Linked DNA regions of Diceros bicornis minor. The protein of the gene in region 1 purifies or fractionates together with the protein of each later gene. This does not show direct contact. Links are inferred from orthologs where the notes say so. Each region holds a gene or a part of one and is shown in the gene's direction. Other genes may lie near its edges.

Evidence for each region. Proteins that work in one complex are often made in the same cells at the same time.
Region 2: the proteins of NOP2 (region 1) and NIFK fractionate together in Homo sapiens (co-fractionation; 3 studies listed by BioGRID, with this or other methods). This does not show direct contact. The link is inferred for Diceros bicornis minor from reciprocal best matches to the Homo sapiens genes NOP2 and NIFK.

Annotation. Positions count from the first base shown.
Region 1 is NC_080756.1:55,119,604-55,126,725, forward strand, and holds the start of NOP2 (probable 28S rRNA (cytosine(4447)-C(5))-methyltransferase), read left to right. Parts: upstream 1-4,055; 5' UTR 4,056-4,161; intron 4,162-4,396; 5' UTR 4,397-4,400; coding exon 4,401-4,503; intron 4,504-5,829; coding exon 5,830-5,875; intron 5,876-6,053; coding exon 6,054-6,142; intron 6,143-6,307; coding exon 6,308-6,558; intron 6,559-7,122. Other genes in the region: CHD4 (chromodomain-helicase-DNA-binding protein 4), read left to right, coding at 1,288-1,483, 2,215-2,378, 2,551-2,568. UniProt on the Homo sapiens protein: S-adenosyl-L-methionine-dependent methyltransferase that specifically methylates the C(5) position of cytosine 4447 in 28S rRNA. Required for efficient rRNA processing and 60S ribosomal subunit biogenesis.
Region 2 is NC_080749.1:11,042,565-11,050,119, forward strand, and holds the start of NIFK (MKI67 FHA domain-interacting nucleolar phosphoprotein), read left to right. Parts: upstream 1-4,498; 5' UTR 4,499-4,542; coding exon 4,543-4,647; intron 4,648-5,546; coding exon 5,547-5,684; intron 5,685-7,555.

The DNA of each region.
Region 1 (7,122 bases):
TTTTTTGTGAGGAAGATCAGCCATGAGCTAACATCCATGCTAATCCTCTCTTTGCTGAGGAAGACCGGCTCTGAGCCAACATCTATTGCCAATCTTCCTCCTCTTTTTCTCCAAAGCCCCAGTAGATAGTTGTATGTCATAGTTGCACATCCTTCTAGTTGCTGTATGTGGGACGCAGCCTCAGCATGGCTGGAGAAGCGGTGTGTCGGTGTGCGCCCGGGATCCAAACCTGGGCCGCCAGTAGCGGAGCATGCGCACTTAACTGCCAAGCCACGGGGCCGGCCCAGTTTAATTTATAAATTAGGCACAGTAAGAGATTAGCAACAATAATATTAAAGTTGGCTGTGGGGCCATTATTAAGTAAAATAAGGGTTACTTGAACACAATCACTGTGATACTGTGACAGTCAATCTGATAACCGAGATGACTACTAAGTAACTAATAGGCAGGTAGCCTATACAGCATGGATAAGCTGGACAAAGGAATGATTCACGTCCTGGGACGGACAGAGTGGGACGGTGCAAGATTTCATCATGCTACTCAGAACAGTGTGCAATTTAAAACGTGAATTGTTTATTTCTGGAATTTTCCATTTAATATTTTTGGACCGCAGTTGACTCTGAGTAACTGAAACTTTGGAAAGCAAAACCGCGGATAAGGAGGGGGACTACTGTAGAATGATCTCAATTATGTAAAATTTGTGATTTTAATTGTTTATATATTCTGTATTTTCTAAATTGAGTTTTTATCATTTTTGTATGAGTGAATCAATAAAGGGTAAAGAGTTTTATTTTTTTAAGTTTTATTTATTTATGTTTTTGTGAGGAAGATCAGCCCTGAGCTAACATCCATGCTAATCCTCCTCTTTTTGCTGAGGAAGACCGGCTCTCAGCTAACATCTGTTGCCAATCCTCCTCCTTTTTTGTGTTTCCCCAAAGCCCCAGTAGATAGTTGTATGCCTTAGCTGCACATCCTTCTAGTTGGTGTATGTGGGATGCCGCCTCAGCGTGGCCAGAGAAGTGGTGCATCGCTGTGCGCCCGGGATCCGAACCCGGGCCGCCAGTAGCGGAGCGTGCGCACTTAACAGCTAAGCCACGGGGCCGGCCCAGGGTAAAGAGTTTTAAAAACGTAGACCTTGAAAGGAGAGTAAAGAAGGCAATGCAATGTTGAACTGCTTGGGTTTGGGGGAGCCATCTGTAAGGTTCTTTATAGGTTCTGAGAGGCCCATCAGAAATAAGCAAAGTGAGTGTCAGTTCATCTCCCATTTCCTCTTTATCCCTTGTCCAGCTCTTAGAACAAGCCCTGGTGATTGAGGAACAGCTGCGCCGGGCAGCTTACCTGAACATGTCAGAGGACCCCTCTCACCCTTCCATGGCCCTAAACACCCGCTTTGCTGAGGTGGAGTGTTTGGCGGAGAGTCATCAGCACCTGTCCAAGGAGTCAATGGCAGGAAACAAGCCAGCCAATGCAGTCCTGCACAAAGGTAGCCAGTGGCTCCCCTGCCTCCTGCTGACTCAGCCTCCTTCTTCCTCTACCCCTCCCCAACACATTGGCTTCTTGTTTCCAAACCTTTTTCAGAGCCCCTTTGGGAGTTTAGCCTTCCTCCTTGGGAAGCTAATGTCTTAGAGGCAATCGAGGACAGTAGTTCTTTGCCTCTTTCAACTCTTAATATATTCAAGTTGTTGGAGGTGGAAAGCAAAGCAGAATAATATAGTGTTATCTGGGATACTTCAGAGGTAACTTCAGGTGATTTAAGATCCTGTCAAATTCTAGACCCTTTTCAACATTTTTTTTTCTGATTAAAGTTAAAACATTGTGAGAGAGGTGGAGGGTGAAGTGAGGAAAGGAAGACTGTTATAAAGGAAGAGGGAGACACCTCGAAAAGGTGGAGAAGAAAGATAGAAAAGGAAATAATAGGAATAAGCGTGTCTCAGGAAGTAGAGAAAATAGAGACAGTTGGGAGCAAGGGACAGTGAGGGTTAGGTGACTTTAAGAAGCATAGAAGCATGGCCAGTTGGAACTAGAATGTGAGGAATAGGAATTTGAGCATGGTAGAGGCCAGGTCACGTGACGCAGTGACAAAAGACAATACTTGAGCATTCCAGCACATCAGTCCCTTGGTCAATGAGAAGTGATGGGGGCCAGGGGTCCACTGGTAAGAAGGATCTTGGTCTTGACCACCACAGCTCACCACTTTTTTTTTTTCCTGTGCAGTTCTGAAACAGCTAGAAGAACTGCTGAGTGACATGAAAGCCGATGTGACTCGACTCCCAGCTACTATTGCCCGAATTCCCCCAGTTGCTGTGAGGCTACAGATGTCAGAGCGTAACATTCTTAGCCGCCTGGCAAACCGAGCACCTGAACCTACTCCACAGCAGGTAGGACCGTTTTCTTCTGGCCAGCTGTTCGAGCAGAGCCACTGTTACTTTGCTGTCTGTCCCTAGCTTTACATACTGGACAGGTGGGGCTGTGTCACCACTGAGTTCCCGTAGGATCAGGTGGATTCCTGTGGTCTGGCATTCTGACTCCCTTGGCTCTCTTTTCCTGTAGGTAGCCCAGCAGCAGTGAAGATCAGACTGATGATACCACCTCCACCGCTGAGCAGTGACCTTCCTCACTTTCCCTTGCCCAGCTTCTCACCTGGGGGCCTGAGAGACCCTCTCCTTCCTCCTGCCCCATCTTCCATGTTGTAAAGGAACAGCCCCCAGTGCACTGGGGGAGGGGAGGGAGTGAGGGGCAGTGGTGCCCTTCCTGCTGGAGAGACATGCAGCAGTAGCGCCGGCGCCATCTGCAGGGAGCTGGCGGGCTGGCCGCCTTCTGGGCCCTGGCTTCTCCCTACTGTAACGTCTGTTACACACAAACTGTTGTGGGTCCCGCCAGGCTTGAAGAAAATGATCTGAATTTCTTTCTCCTTTTGGTTTTATTTTGTTGGTTTACTTTGTGTTTCCTTTTCTCCTTTTTTGGGGTATTCAGAGTGGGCCGGGCCCCTGGGCGAGACACAGCTACCTCTGTTGGCATCTTTTTAATACCAGGAACCCAGCGGCTCCAGCCACTGAGCAGCTAGAATAAAATAAAGTGAAAAAAAAAAAAAAAGGAAAAGAACCAAAAGCGTAAAAAACCACAGCAAATTTCTTGATGAAAACTGAAAATAAAAGTTTCCTTGTATTTTAGTGCTCTGGTTCGGTGTGGGTGTAGGTTCAGGTGGATGAGTGTGCATGACAGGAGCCCTGGGAAATGTGCAGCTGAGAACCAGGGGCTACTTGTGTTCTAATAGTCCACAAGAGACCGTGTCACGTCTGCACGTGCCCGCTGTGCTCTGGACCAAGGATGACCAGCATCTGGGGGAATGAGCGGCTCCCACACCACCCGGGCTCGTGCCCTGTACTACCGGCCAACGGCTCTGTACCGTTGAGGAAGTGAACTCTGGGCTGTGGATTTCTCATGTATAAAATAAAGCTATCTTCCTCATAGAGTTGTGAAGATAAAACCAGTAAAGTGCTTGGAACAGTTTCTAACAGCTACTAAGCACTGTTAGTATTTATTTGAAGGAAGGCTGAAGTTTTATCTAGTTGTGTGAAACTAGGATGTGAGGTGTCTTCCGACCTCCAGCTGTGCACCTAGGCAGAGAGGAACCCTACCCGACGGGCAGAGCGGTGGTCTGGGTCAAAGAGGGCTTCCCAATTGAAGGGATCGGGGTGGGAGAGCGGCGTGGGATTCCAGGACTCCGAGACTGGGCGGAGCGCGGACACTGCCAAGAGGAGGGCCCCGATCTCACGCCTTGGTTTGAGGGGAGGGGCGGCTCTCAGGTTCCAGTTACTCCGATTGAAATCTGCAGTGAGGCGAAAAGCCAACGCCTTGAGGGAGGAGCAGGGAAGCGCAAAACGGTTCCGTCCCGGTTCCTTTCGCCGCCCTCTGCGACTGTGAACGGAGCGGTCCGTCTCCAAATCTTCCCCGGCCGCGCTGCCGACAGCCCCGCGCGCGTTCCGGGTTCCGCGCCCGACCAGAAGCGGCCGGAAGAGGCGGGGCCACCAGTGAAGCGAGCTCTGCGCGCCTGCGCGAAGCGTTTCCGTGGAGTGCGGCGCCCGAACGCTAGCCTCGCGGTGCACGTGGAGTGCTGCCCCGCGTACCCAGGAGGCGTCTGGGGCCTGGACCCGCCTTCGGGTGAGCCGAGGCTTCGGGTGGTTCTGGAGGAAGTCGGGGAAGGAAGGGTGACTGCACTGACCTGGACTGGGGCGTGGGGAGGGACGCAGGGTCCGGGGCTCCGCGTGGAGGGGGTTTGGTTAGGCCTCGAGGGCTGGTTGACCGGATGCGCTTTCCCACCGTAATGCGCTAAGTCTGCGGTGTGCCTTTCCCTTTCCAACACGCGCGACTCTGCTCCCATTTTTCGTTTCCCCAGTACCATGGGGCGCAAGTTGGACCCTACGAAGGAGAAGCGCGGGCCGGGCCGAAAGGCCCGGAAGCAGAAAGGTGCCGAGACTGAACTCGCCAGATTCTTGCCTGCAGGTAAGGGTCAGGCCTGCCTCCTCCCCATTCTCCAGCTTTTGTGCCATCTTTTCATCTGTATGATAACCCCGTCCGTTCTTTAGTTTTTGTTCACCTTCTGCTCAAGTGGAATTTCGTTTGTATGAGTTATTAGGAAATAGGCGTGAATGAAACACTCACTGTCATCAGCCAGAACTTAGGGAAGATGTGACAGGGACACAAGAACCCATGCAAGGAGAGGCCCGCTTTAACATTGAGGGAGTTCAGAGGAAGGGGGATCCCATGCAGTTAGAGAATTTAAAAAGATTTTGTTATGAAGTTAGGTTTTGAAAAATGGCTGACATTTTAGCAAGTGGAAGTTGGGAAGGGGACTCCAGGCCAGTCGCTGTGAGCTGCATTGTGGAGGGGATGGAGGTGGGAAAGCACAGAGCTGGTTCCCACATGGTGAGTAGGCTACTGCTTGGAACACTGGGTAAGAGAGAAGCATGGACAGGTAGTTTGTGTTGGGCATTGGACAAAAGATGCAGTTTATTGCAGTACTAACCTGTGCTAGGCACTATACCGGACTCTTTGGACACATCATATCACTTCATTCTCTTAGTTTCCTGTGGGAGAGGCACTGTTAAGGCAACGGATGTTGAGAGGTTAAATGACCTGCATATAGTTATTAAGTGACAGGGCTGAGATTTAAACCTTTTATTTCTTGGAGAATGTTTGAAAAACAGCAATCATAAAGGTAAAATCTACTGTGGCTAGTGACTGATTAAATTGAGAGTAAAGGAAAAGGCAGAAGAAAAGATAAATTTTGAGTCTGTGTTATCAGAATGGTGATGATGCTATTTATTGCAATCAGAAGTGTGGAGGTGGGGCCGGTCGGTGGCGAAGCGGTTAAGTTCCCGTGCTTTGGCAGCCCAGGGTTCGCCGGTTTGGATCCTGGGCATGGACCTAGGCACCGCTCATCAAACCATGCTGAGGCAGAGTCCCACATAGAACAACTAGAAGGATGTACAACTGTGACGTACAACTACCTATTGGGGCTTTGGGGAGAAAAAAGGAAAAAAGGAAGAAGATGGGCAATAGATGTTAGCTCAGGGCCAGCCTTCGTCAAAGAAAAAAAAAAAAGTAGTCTGGAAGGAGGCCCAATTTGGATTTGGTTGGTGAACAACCAGATGGAGATCATCTCCTTTACATCTCTTATCCAGCTCCTGGTAAAACACTGTGGAGTGAGTTGCAGTCTACTCCCTTTAATTACTGTACTTATTTCTCCCCACTTTTATTTTCTCTCCTGTTGCTCTTTTTCATTTCACCTGTAACCTCCTGTTCTGCCTCTTTTTTATGTTTTAACAGCTGGTGATGAAAATTCCAAGAGGCTGTCTAGTCGTGCTCGGAAGAGGTGAGTGAGGATGTCTAGACTTATATCGAGTCAACTGGTGCTGCTCTTCCTAAGCCACATGAATCCATGTGATCATGTTGATGGAAAGGGCTGTTTGGGGACTGTCATGTTTCCCTGTCATGAGAAATGGCAGAGCTTGGAGATATGTTCCATTTTCTCACTCCTTGTATCTTTTCAGAGCAGTCAAGAGGAAGTTGGGCTCTGCTGAAGTCCCTAAGATGAATAAGTCTTCTGGGATCAAACCATTGCCTGGAAAGCTACCAAAAGGTCAGTGAAAATAGGAGCTGGGTGCTACATGAGGAACCCTCTGGGTCCTGGGTAGAGAAGGGCCTGCTAAATGAAAGGAACAGCCAAAGGACTTTCTTGGGGGTAGAAAATACAGGCTCTATCAGTGTGTGACTGCCATCAGTCCAGAATTCTTCAAACCTTTAGGGATCTTTGCAAGAGCTGTCCAGACACCTGGTAAGAAGGGAGCCCAGTCCTTATTAAATACTGCTCAAGGCAAGAAGCGCCCAGCACCAACCCATAGCAGTGAGGAGGAAGAGGAGGAGGAAGACTCTGAAGAGGATGGTGTGGTGAACCAGGGGGACCTCTGGGGCTCCGAGGACAGCGACGCTGATATGATAGATGACTGTGGAGCTGACTCCAACTCAGAGGATGACAATGAGGATGAAGGTGAAGAGGTGAGATTTATCTGTTCAGGAAGGAAGCCTTGCCTTTTAGTCTTTCCAGATCCTTGAGACTATGCCTCAGTGACAAGGATAAGCCTGAGTAGAGAAGATATTTTAGTGTTCCATCACTGCTTTCCTATCATCTTATGGCCTCTCAGTGTACATGCAAGTTTAAAAGAGCTGTAGAATAGAGCATTTTAAAATATGAGAATGCTCAGTGCTGGTGAGGATGTGGTAAGGTGGACACTTGTATGCCCCACTGATGGGAATAGAAATGCACACACGTGTTTTATAAAGCATTTGGCGTCTGAGGACCTTGAAAAGTTTCTTCTTTTTAACCTAGTAATTCTTTTTTTTTTTTTTTTTTAATGAGGAAGATCAGCCCTGAGCTAACATCTATTGCCAATCCTCCTCCTCCTTTTTTTTTCCCCCCTCTTCTCCCCAAAGCCGCAGTAGATAGTTGTGTGTCATAGCTGCACATCCTTCTAGTTGCTGTATGTGGGACGCCACTTCAGCATGGCCGGAGAAGCGGTGCGTTGGTGCTCGCCCGGGATCCAAACCCGGGCTGCCGGTAGC
Region 2 (7,555 bases), on another chromosome or scaffold:
CTTGGGGCTGTGCATGATGTTAACCTGGCACAGAGCAGGATGTAGGCAAAGGTGACAGTCATTCACAAGGACAAAGGAAGAAAATCTTTCTCGTGGCTTCAGGACACACGGCCCTGAATGGTCTGCAGACTGAATTTTAGTTTGTCAGGTGACATTTTATTGAGGCTGCACTGAGTTTCTCCCCACTTCTTCCCCTGGAATTGCCCGTTTCAGGCCCATCTCCAAAATCTGAGCAAGGGGCAGCTGGGCAGGGCCGAGCAGGCTGACTCTGATGGCTGGGCCCACTATCCAGGGTGGCACGTTGGATGACCACACAGGGACCAGGCAGAGAGGAAAACACGGGAGGGGGAAGGTGGGCCGGGCCCACGTGTGTCCCTTCTCCTGCCAGCCCTCAGCCCCACCCCACAGAGCCCTCCCTCCTAAGGCCCAGCCCCCTGGACACAGCACACCCTGCCTCACCCTGCTGCTTGCCCAGCTCTGCTGCCCGCCCCACCTCATATCCCAGCCACCAGCCCTCACCATGCTGGGCCCCCAGCAGGTGTTCCAGCCCATAGGCGGTGATGGTGGCATCACAGGAAAGACACGTGACCATTCCATCCCAGCAGAGGGGTGGCATAGGAGGTCAGTGGGGGAAAAGGAAGGGAAAGTCCTGCAGTAAGCACATTTAATAGTCCACTCAGGGGTGTGTGGCAGTGCCTGGAGCCATTCTGGTTGTTACAATGACTGGGGTGCCACTGGCATTGAGTGCCAGGGGACAGGGTACCAGGGTGGTATGTATGGGACAGTCCAGCTCAGTGAAGAACAGTCCCTCCCAAGGTGTCAGTAGCCTCCCCACCTCCATGCAAAAAGAGAAAGGGGGGGGGGAGGGAGGGAAGAAGAGAAGGAAGGGAGGGAAGAAGGAAGAAGGAGGAAGAGAAAAGATAAGGAAGGACAAACACACACAGCCCCAGCCTGTCACCTGGCATGAAGAAGGCAAGCTGCCAGTCTGAGCATTAGTAGTGTTGCTGCTGCCACTAAGGAGTGAAGACTCCCCCAGGGAGACCTTAACAACCGTCCCAGCCAAACCCTTCTTCACGGATGAGGAGACTGAGGCCCTCCTGGAGAGAGGGCCATCTCCCCCAGGCACATCCCAGGGCGGTAACGGGTTTCTGGGCTCTCTGACCAGGATACCACATCAACTCCTGTGATCACCTACCTAGGTCCCAGAGTGACCCTTGGGCCCTGGGTGGCAGAATGAGATGTTACCCAGCAGGGCCACAGCGAACGTCAGTGGAAATCACTGTTAACTGAGAGTGACTGGCCAAGGCTCAAAGGGGAAATGAAAGCAGGTCCGGTCTGGGCTGCGGTGAGGATTCGGGGCCTGAGACTCCGTCCCCAGTTAAGGGCTGACTTCTATGGTCTGGTGAAGGGCCAAGGAGAGGGTGGCCCGGCATCCTTCTGGGAACATCCAGGAGCTCCTCTGGCACCTGGCCTTCATGGGTAGCTCCCAACAGCCAAGACAGGCCCAGGACCAGTGTCTGCCTCAGAAAACCCCTTCAGGCGGCACCCACCATGGTGCTGTATTCATTTCCTAGGGCTGCCATTACAAATCACCAAAACTGGGGGGCTTAAAACAACAGAAACTTATTCTCACAGTTCTGGAGACTAGAAATCCAAACCCAAGATGTTGGCAGGACGATTTTCTCTCCAAAGGCTCTAGGGAAGAATCCTTCTCTACCTCTTCCCAGCTTCCAATGGTTGTCAGCAATCCTTGGCGTTTCTTAGCTTGCAACTGCCTCTCTCCCATCTCTGCCTTCATCATCACTGTGGTGTTCTCCGTGTGTGTGTGTCTGTGTGTGTGTGTGTGTATCCAAATTTCCTTGTTTTTATAAGGACACTAGTTATTGGATTAGGGCCCACCCTACTCCAGCATGACCTCGCCTTAACTTGATTACATCTGCAAAGACCCTATTTCCATCACATATACCGGGATTAAGACTTGAACATCTCTTTTGGGGGAACACAATTCAACCCAGCACAGTGATCAATTGCCCGAATCCCTCCTACTACTACTCCAAGTTTGGTCCACGGAGCATCAGCCTCACCGGGGAGCTTGTTAGAAACACAGAACCTGGGGCCCCACCCCAGAGCTAGGAATCAGAACTGGCCATGTAACAAGACCCCCAGGAAATCTACATGCTCATTGTTTTGTTTTCTTTTGTTTTGCTGAGGAAGATTCACCCTGAGCTAACATCTGTTGCCAATCTTCCTCTTTTTGTATGTGAGCCAACACCACAGCAAGGCCCTTGACAGACGAGTGGTGTAGGTCTGCGCCTGGGAACCAAACCTGGGCTGCCGAAGCACAGCACACAAAACTTAACCTCTAGGCCACTGCGGCTGGCCTCTCATTCAGTTTTGAGAAACCTTGGGTCACCACCCACCTGGGGGATGTAACGGGAGGCCAGGAATTCATGGAGGTGGTTGCAAAAACTGGAAAGAGGATCTCCCAGAAGAGAACTGTCACTTTGCTGTCTTCCCTTCTCTGCTCCTCCCTACCTCTCTCTTCCCCTTAGAAGCTATGAGATATGTCAAGTTTCATCCTTGGGAAAGAGGGGAGTGTTCACACACACACACTCAAGGGAGGGGCCTTTAGGGAACCAACAGCTTGTTCTGTGTCCTCTGGAATTTGGGGGATACAGGCACCCATAAGTGACTCATAAATCAAACATCTAACTTTGACCAGCCAGGAGGCCCACCCTACAGCAATGCAAAGAGGAAAAAGCATCTCCTACAACAGAGAGGACAAAAGATGTGGCCCTTACTAAAGGATCAGGATGGGGTCAGCTTAGAAAGGCCCTTCCAATAGGAGCACCTGGACACACAGCTGACCTAAGCAGGCAGGTGGTACCACAGGCAGGCAGGCTAAGCCATGAGCAGCCAGGCGAGGGAACACCTCAAAAGTATGCCTGGAAAGAGTGAGTCAGCAACCAAGGATGCGCCCCACCTGAAGCTCCCCAACCACATGGCACCTGCCAGTCAAGGAGCCCCTTCCTGCCGCTTCCTTGCGCTCTCCCCATCTCAATCATGGAGAAGCCAAAAAAGAAACTGGGGTGCAGGGGACAAGGTGAAGCCAGAGAGACAATGTCAACTGTGACTCCTTGAGAGATTTCTCACCTGAGACAGGTCCGAGTGTGGGGAGAGGAGACACTTGCTGTCAGATTTTGAACACCCTGAAAACATTTCTATACACTGATATCTGAGGAGCTCTCCCCAAGATTTCGTCCAGGGGGGAGAAGGAACAAGTCCATGAAAAGAAGCAGTCCTGAGAAAGAATAAAATTGCTCTCTGCTTGCACTCTCCTGAAAATCCAGCTTGTTCATGAAAACGCCATTGTAAGAGAGTATTTAATAGGAGGAGGTGACCTCGGCAACAGGGTCGCAGAGGGCTTCCCTGACAGGTGACAGTTGAGCTGAGCTGGGGTGTGACTGGGGTGAGGGACGCAAAGGCAGGCAAGTGGCTCCCAGAGGAAGCACGCTGGCCCTCACTGTACAATCGCTCCCACGCCACTCTACCCTACAGTTACCATCCACTCTTCCCACAGGTACCCCTGGGCACCAGCCAAACTCAGCCCTCATTGGTTCCAGAACACCTGCCACCACCATCCCCCAGAGCAGCTCTGCTTTGACTATTGCTCTAGCCTCGTCCCCACCCCACCCCACGCCACCCCCGCTTCCTCTGCTATCCACCTTCCACCCTTACTAGAGTAGTAGTTGAAAGGTACAGCCACAGCCTTGCTTAAAACCCTCACACCCCCTGCATTTACAATAAAACCCAAGCTTTAAACCTTGACACAGAGCCCTGGAGCTCCAGCCTGCCCCCTTGCCCCTCTCCCTCACACGCTGAGCTCCAACCACAGTGGCCGACTCCTTCTTTCCAGCCGTAAGGACACTGTACACGCTGTCCCTCTTGCCTGCACGGTGGGCTTCCAGGTCTGCACAGGCTGCTCCTTCCAGCCTTCAGGTCTCAGTTCAAATGCCACCTCCTCCAGGAGGCCCTCATTGGTCACCAGTGTGCTTCCCCCCTCCACGGGGCTCTTATGTCTCCCATTACACCAATCCCACCCTCAAACGTCCTTTATCCACCCACTCCCCATCCCCCCCCACCCACCCAATCTGTATGTTACCTAAGGGCAGCAGCAGCAGGACACACAGTAGGCTCAGAAACGAGCGAGTGAAAAAAGGAAATAAAAAAGAATTAAAGAATGGTTAGCAAGACCTCAAAAGCACGGATATTGTTTGGGATTTATTTTTAAACCCCCTTTGAAATTGGCTGGCCGCAAAGCAAGCGTGAACAAACTACCGTCTGCCATTTTAGGCAGGCGGTCAGCGCGAGAGCGAGGCCAAAGGGCACCCGGCCCGCAGGGGGCGCCCGAACTCGCCCAGCCCCGCCCCCGCGCCCCGCGCGTCGCCGCGCACGTCCCGCCTCACTTCCGCTTCGGAGGAACTCAGGGCTCGGCATTTCCGGACGCGCCGCGTGGAGCTGGTCGTCTTGGGGACTTGCAGCATGGCGGTCTTTGCGGGCCCCGCCAAGACTCTCCTGTCCCTGAACCCACAGGAGGACGCCAAGTTTCAGAAGGAGGTGGCGCAGGTTCGCCGGCGCGCCACCCAGGTGAGCGGCCGCCACGGCCGGGCTGCGAGGGGAGGCGGCGGGCCGGGTCTGGGCCGCGGGGACGCGCGGGCCCGGTGCCGCGCCCTGCTGCCCCCGGGATGGCCTCGGGTGAGCGCCGACCTCGCGAGTTTGTAGGCCGAGCCCCCGAGACGGAGTGTGCGCTGACTGGGAAATGGGGGTGGGCTGTGGCCGCGGAGGTCTTAGAGTCCTCCCGTGGACTAAGGGTGAGGTGTGGGGGGACGAGAGGAGCAGGAGCCAGCTGGGACGGGCCCTCTCGGTCCACGGATTAGAGCTCCCACGCGTCCGCCTGGCCCCCGAATTCAGAGAGTTCATATGTCTGGTTGGTAGTTTGGAGACAGTATTTGCCAAGTTCCGTTTGCTGATTAGGGCCCCTGACGTCAAGTTATAGTTGTCTTGATTTTTAGCAGGAAATACACGTTTGAAAACTTAAAAGTTGTAATAGAAGGCAAGGACATGATGACAGACGCTGAAAAGTTCGTTGGCGTTGTGAAGGGTTACGGAAGTTTCGAAATTGTTTGGTTAGGTGGGTGCGAGTCAACAGCGATCCGCATACAGAGGTGAAGGGTACTTTTATGTGGAGTTCTCCGGCCTGAAGATTTAAAATAGTGTGTTCAAAGACTTGTTGATTCAACGTATAGTTATCGAGCATGAACATTGTGCGGCGTGCTGGGACACAGGCTGAGAAGACAATCCGCTGTGATGATTGTCCTCGTGGGGAGATGGACATTAAACAGCTAACTCTTTAGTTACTGTTCTGCTAAGTGGAAATAGTGGCTAGGCTCTTGGTCTCCTCTTGAGAGTTAGGGAGGTTTGCAAGTTTTGTTGCAATGTGATTTTTTTTAATTGAAAAAGTAATTATCTGTTTTTTATGTTTTCAGCGACAGGAGAAAAAAAAACTCACTCCTGGAGTAATCTATGTGGGCCACCTACCTCCAGCGCTTTACGAAACCCAGATCCGAGCATATTTCTCGCAGTTTGGCACTGTTACAAGACTTAGACTGTCCAGAAGTAAAAGGGTAAGATTTTTGTGTTGAATTTAGATTGTCTGTTTGTTTCTTTAAAAGGATGTCATCCTTGATAGTTGAGAGCATGTCCACATATTATTGTTTATCAGACTTTGCTCCAGAAAAGGGAGGTGGATGAGGTTTAGAACCTGAAACAACCACAAAAGCAAAATCAGTATTATTGTAAATGTTTACTTTATTTAAAAAAAAACGTGGGGGCTGGCCCCATGGCCTAGTGGTTAAGTTCAGCATGCTCTGCTTCAGTGGCTTGGGTTTTCGGGTTTGGATCGCAGGCACGGACCTACACCATTTGTCAGCCATGCAGTGGCCGCGACCCACATACAACATAGAGGAAGATTGGCACAGATGTGAGCTCAGGGCCAATCTTCCTCGAGAAAAAAAAGTGATTGCCCCAAATCCTCAAATTAAATTGACAATCCTAGTAAATAAATCATATTTATTTTATGGCTACTGAGCCAGGTGTACATGAACTTCAGTTTGAGGAGCGGTTCATACATCATCTTGTATTACCCTTTGGTGTAGGCACCCCGTAATAGCAAAAGTTTGTATAGTGAATAGTTAAGGATGAGGACACTGGAGCCAGACTACCTAGGTTTGAGGCCTGACTCTACAGGTTACTAGTTGTACGACCTTGGACAAATTATGTAACCTCTGCATGCATCGGTTTTCTGATTTGTAAAATATGAGTAAAAGAGCACCAACCTCCTAGGAGTATCTAGTGAAAGATTAAACACGGGGTAATGAATGTAAGGTTCTTAGAGCAATGCCTGATAACACACAGTAAACACTGTATAAATGTTATTGTTATATTATCTCTATCTCCTGATAAAAAATGGTTTATGTGGTTTGTATCAGTAAAGGAGGAGTGGCCCACTTTATTTTCTTCCTGCACACATAAACTTTAATTGGTTGTAACCATAGACCTCTCATTGTTGGAATCTCTGGGGGTTTTTTGTTTTTTTGTTTTTGTGAGGAAGATCAGCCCTAAGCTAACATCCGTGCCTATTTTCCTCCACTTTATGTGGGACGCCACCACAGCATGGCCTGACAAGCGGTGCGGAGGTGCACACCCGGCATCCAAACCTGGGCCGCCAGCAGCAGAGCGCGCATTTAACCTCTACGCCACGGGGCCGGCCCCTCTCTGGGGGTTTTTTGATACAGTTTTTCCGCATTTTCCTGCCTGAGTTATAACAAATCAAAGTTAAATTTTATATTTGATTTGGCATGTGAGGGGATAGGGTATGTGTCCATCATCTGCTAGTTGTTATAAAACCACAGGTATTAAATGTTGTCAAAGCAACACGTCAGCATTAAAGGGAATTTTAAATTTAAAGTGCCCTAGTATTTCTTCCATCCTAACGAAAATAACATATTTTCTTTGTATTCCTTCCCTTTTATTCCATTTGCTTATTTGTAGTGGTTTCTTATTAGGTGGGTGAGATATTTCAAACCTCCTGAAGTCTGCTAGAGAGTGATTTAGTGACTGTTCAGGTATCTGCCGTTCACCTTTATCAGATGTCAGCTTCATCTCAAACTTGCTCCAGATCTTTGTTCTTTAAGAAATGGATTATAGGTGAACTTGAGGTCCCTTTGTACCCTTCCCCAGTCCTCTGCACCTTCTCCCCATGCCCAGGGAATTAGTATTCATGAATTCAGTGTTTTTCATTGCTGTGTGTGTTTTTCAATTTTTACTACATACTCATGTATCAATATACATTGTACATTATTGTTTTAAATCTATATTAGTTATATATTTTATTCTGAAACTTAATTTTTTCATTCAACTGTCTGCTCTGAGCTTTATTGATACAGCTCTAGCACATTCATTGTCATTGCTGTGTCCTTTGCTTGAACATACTAAA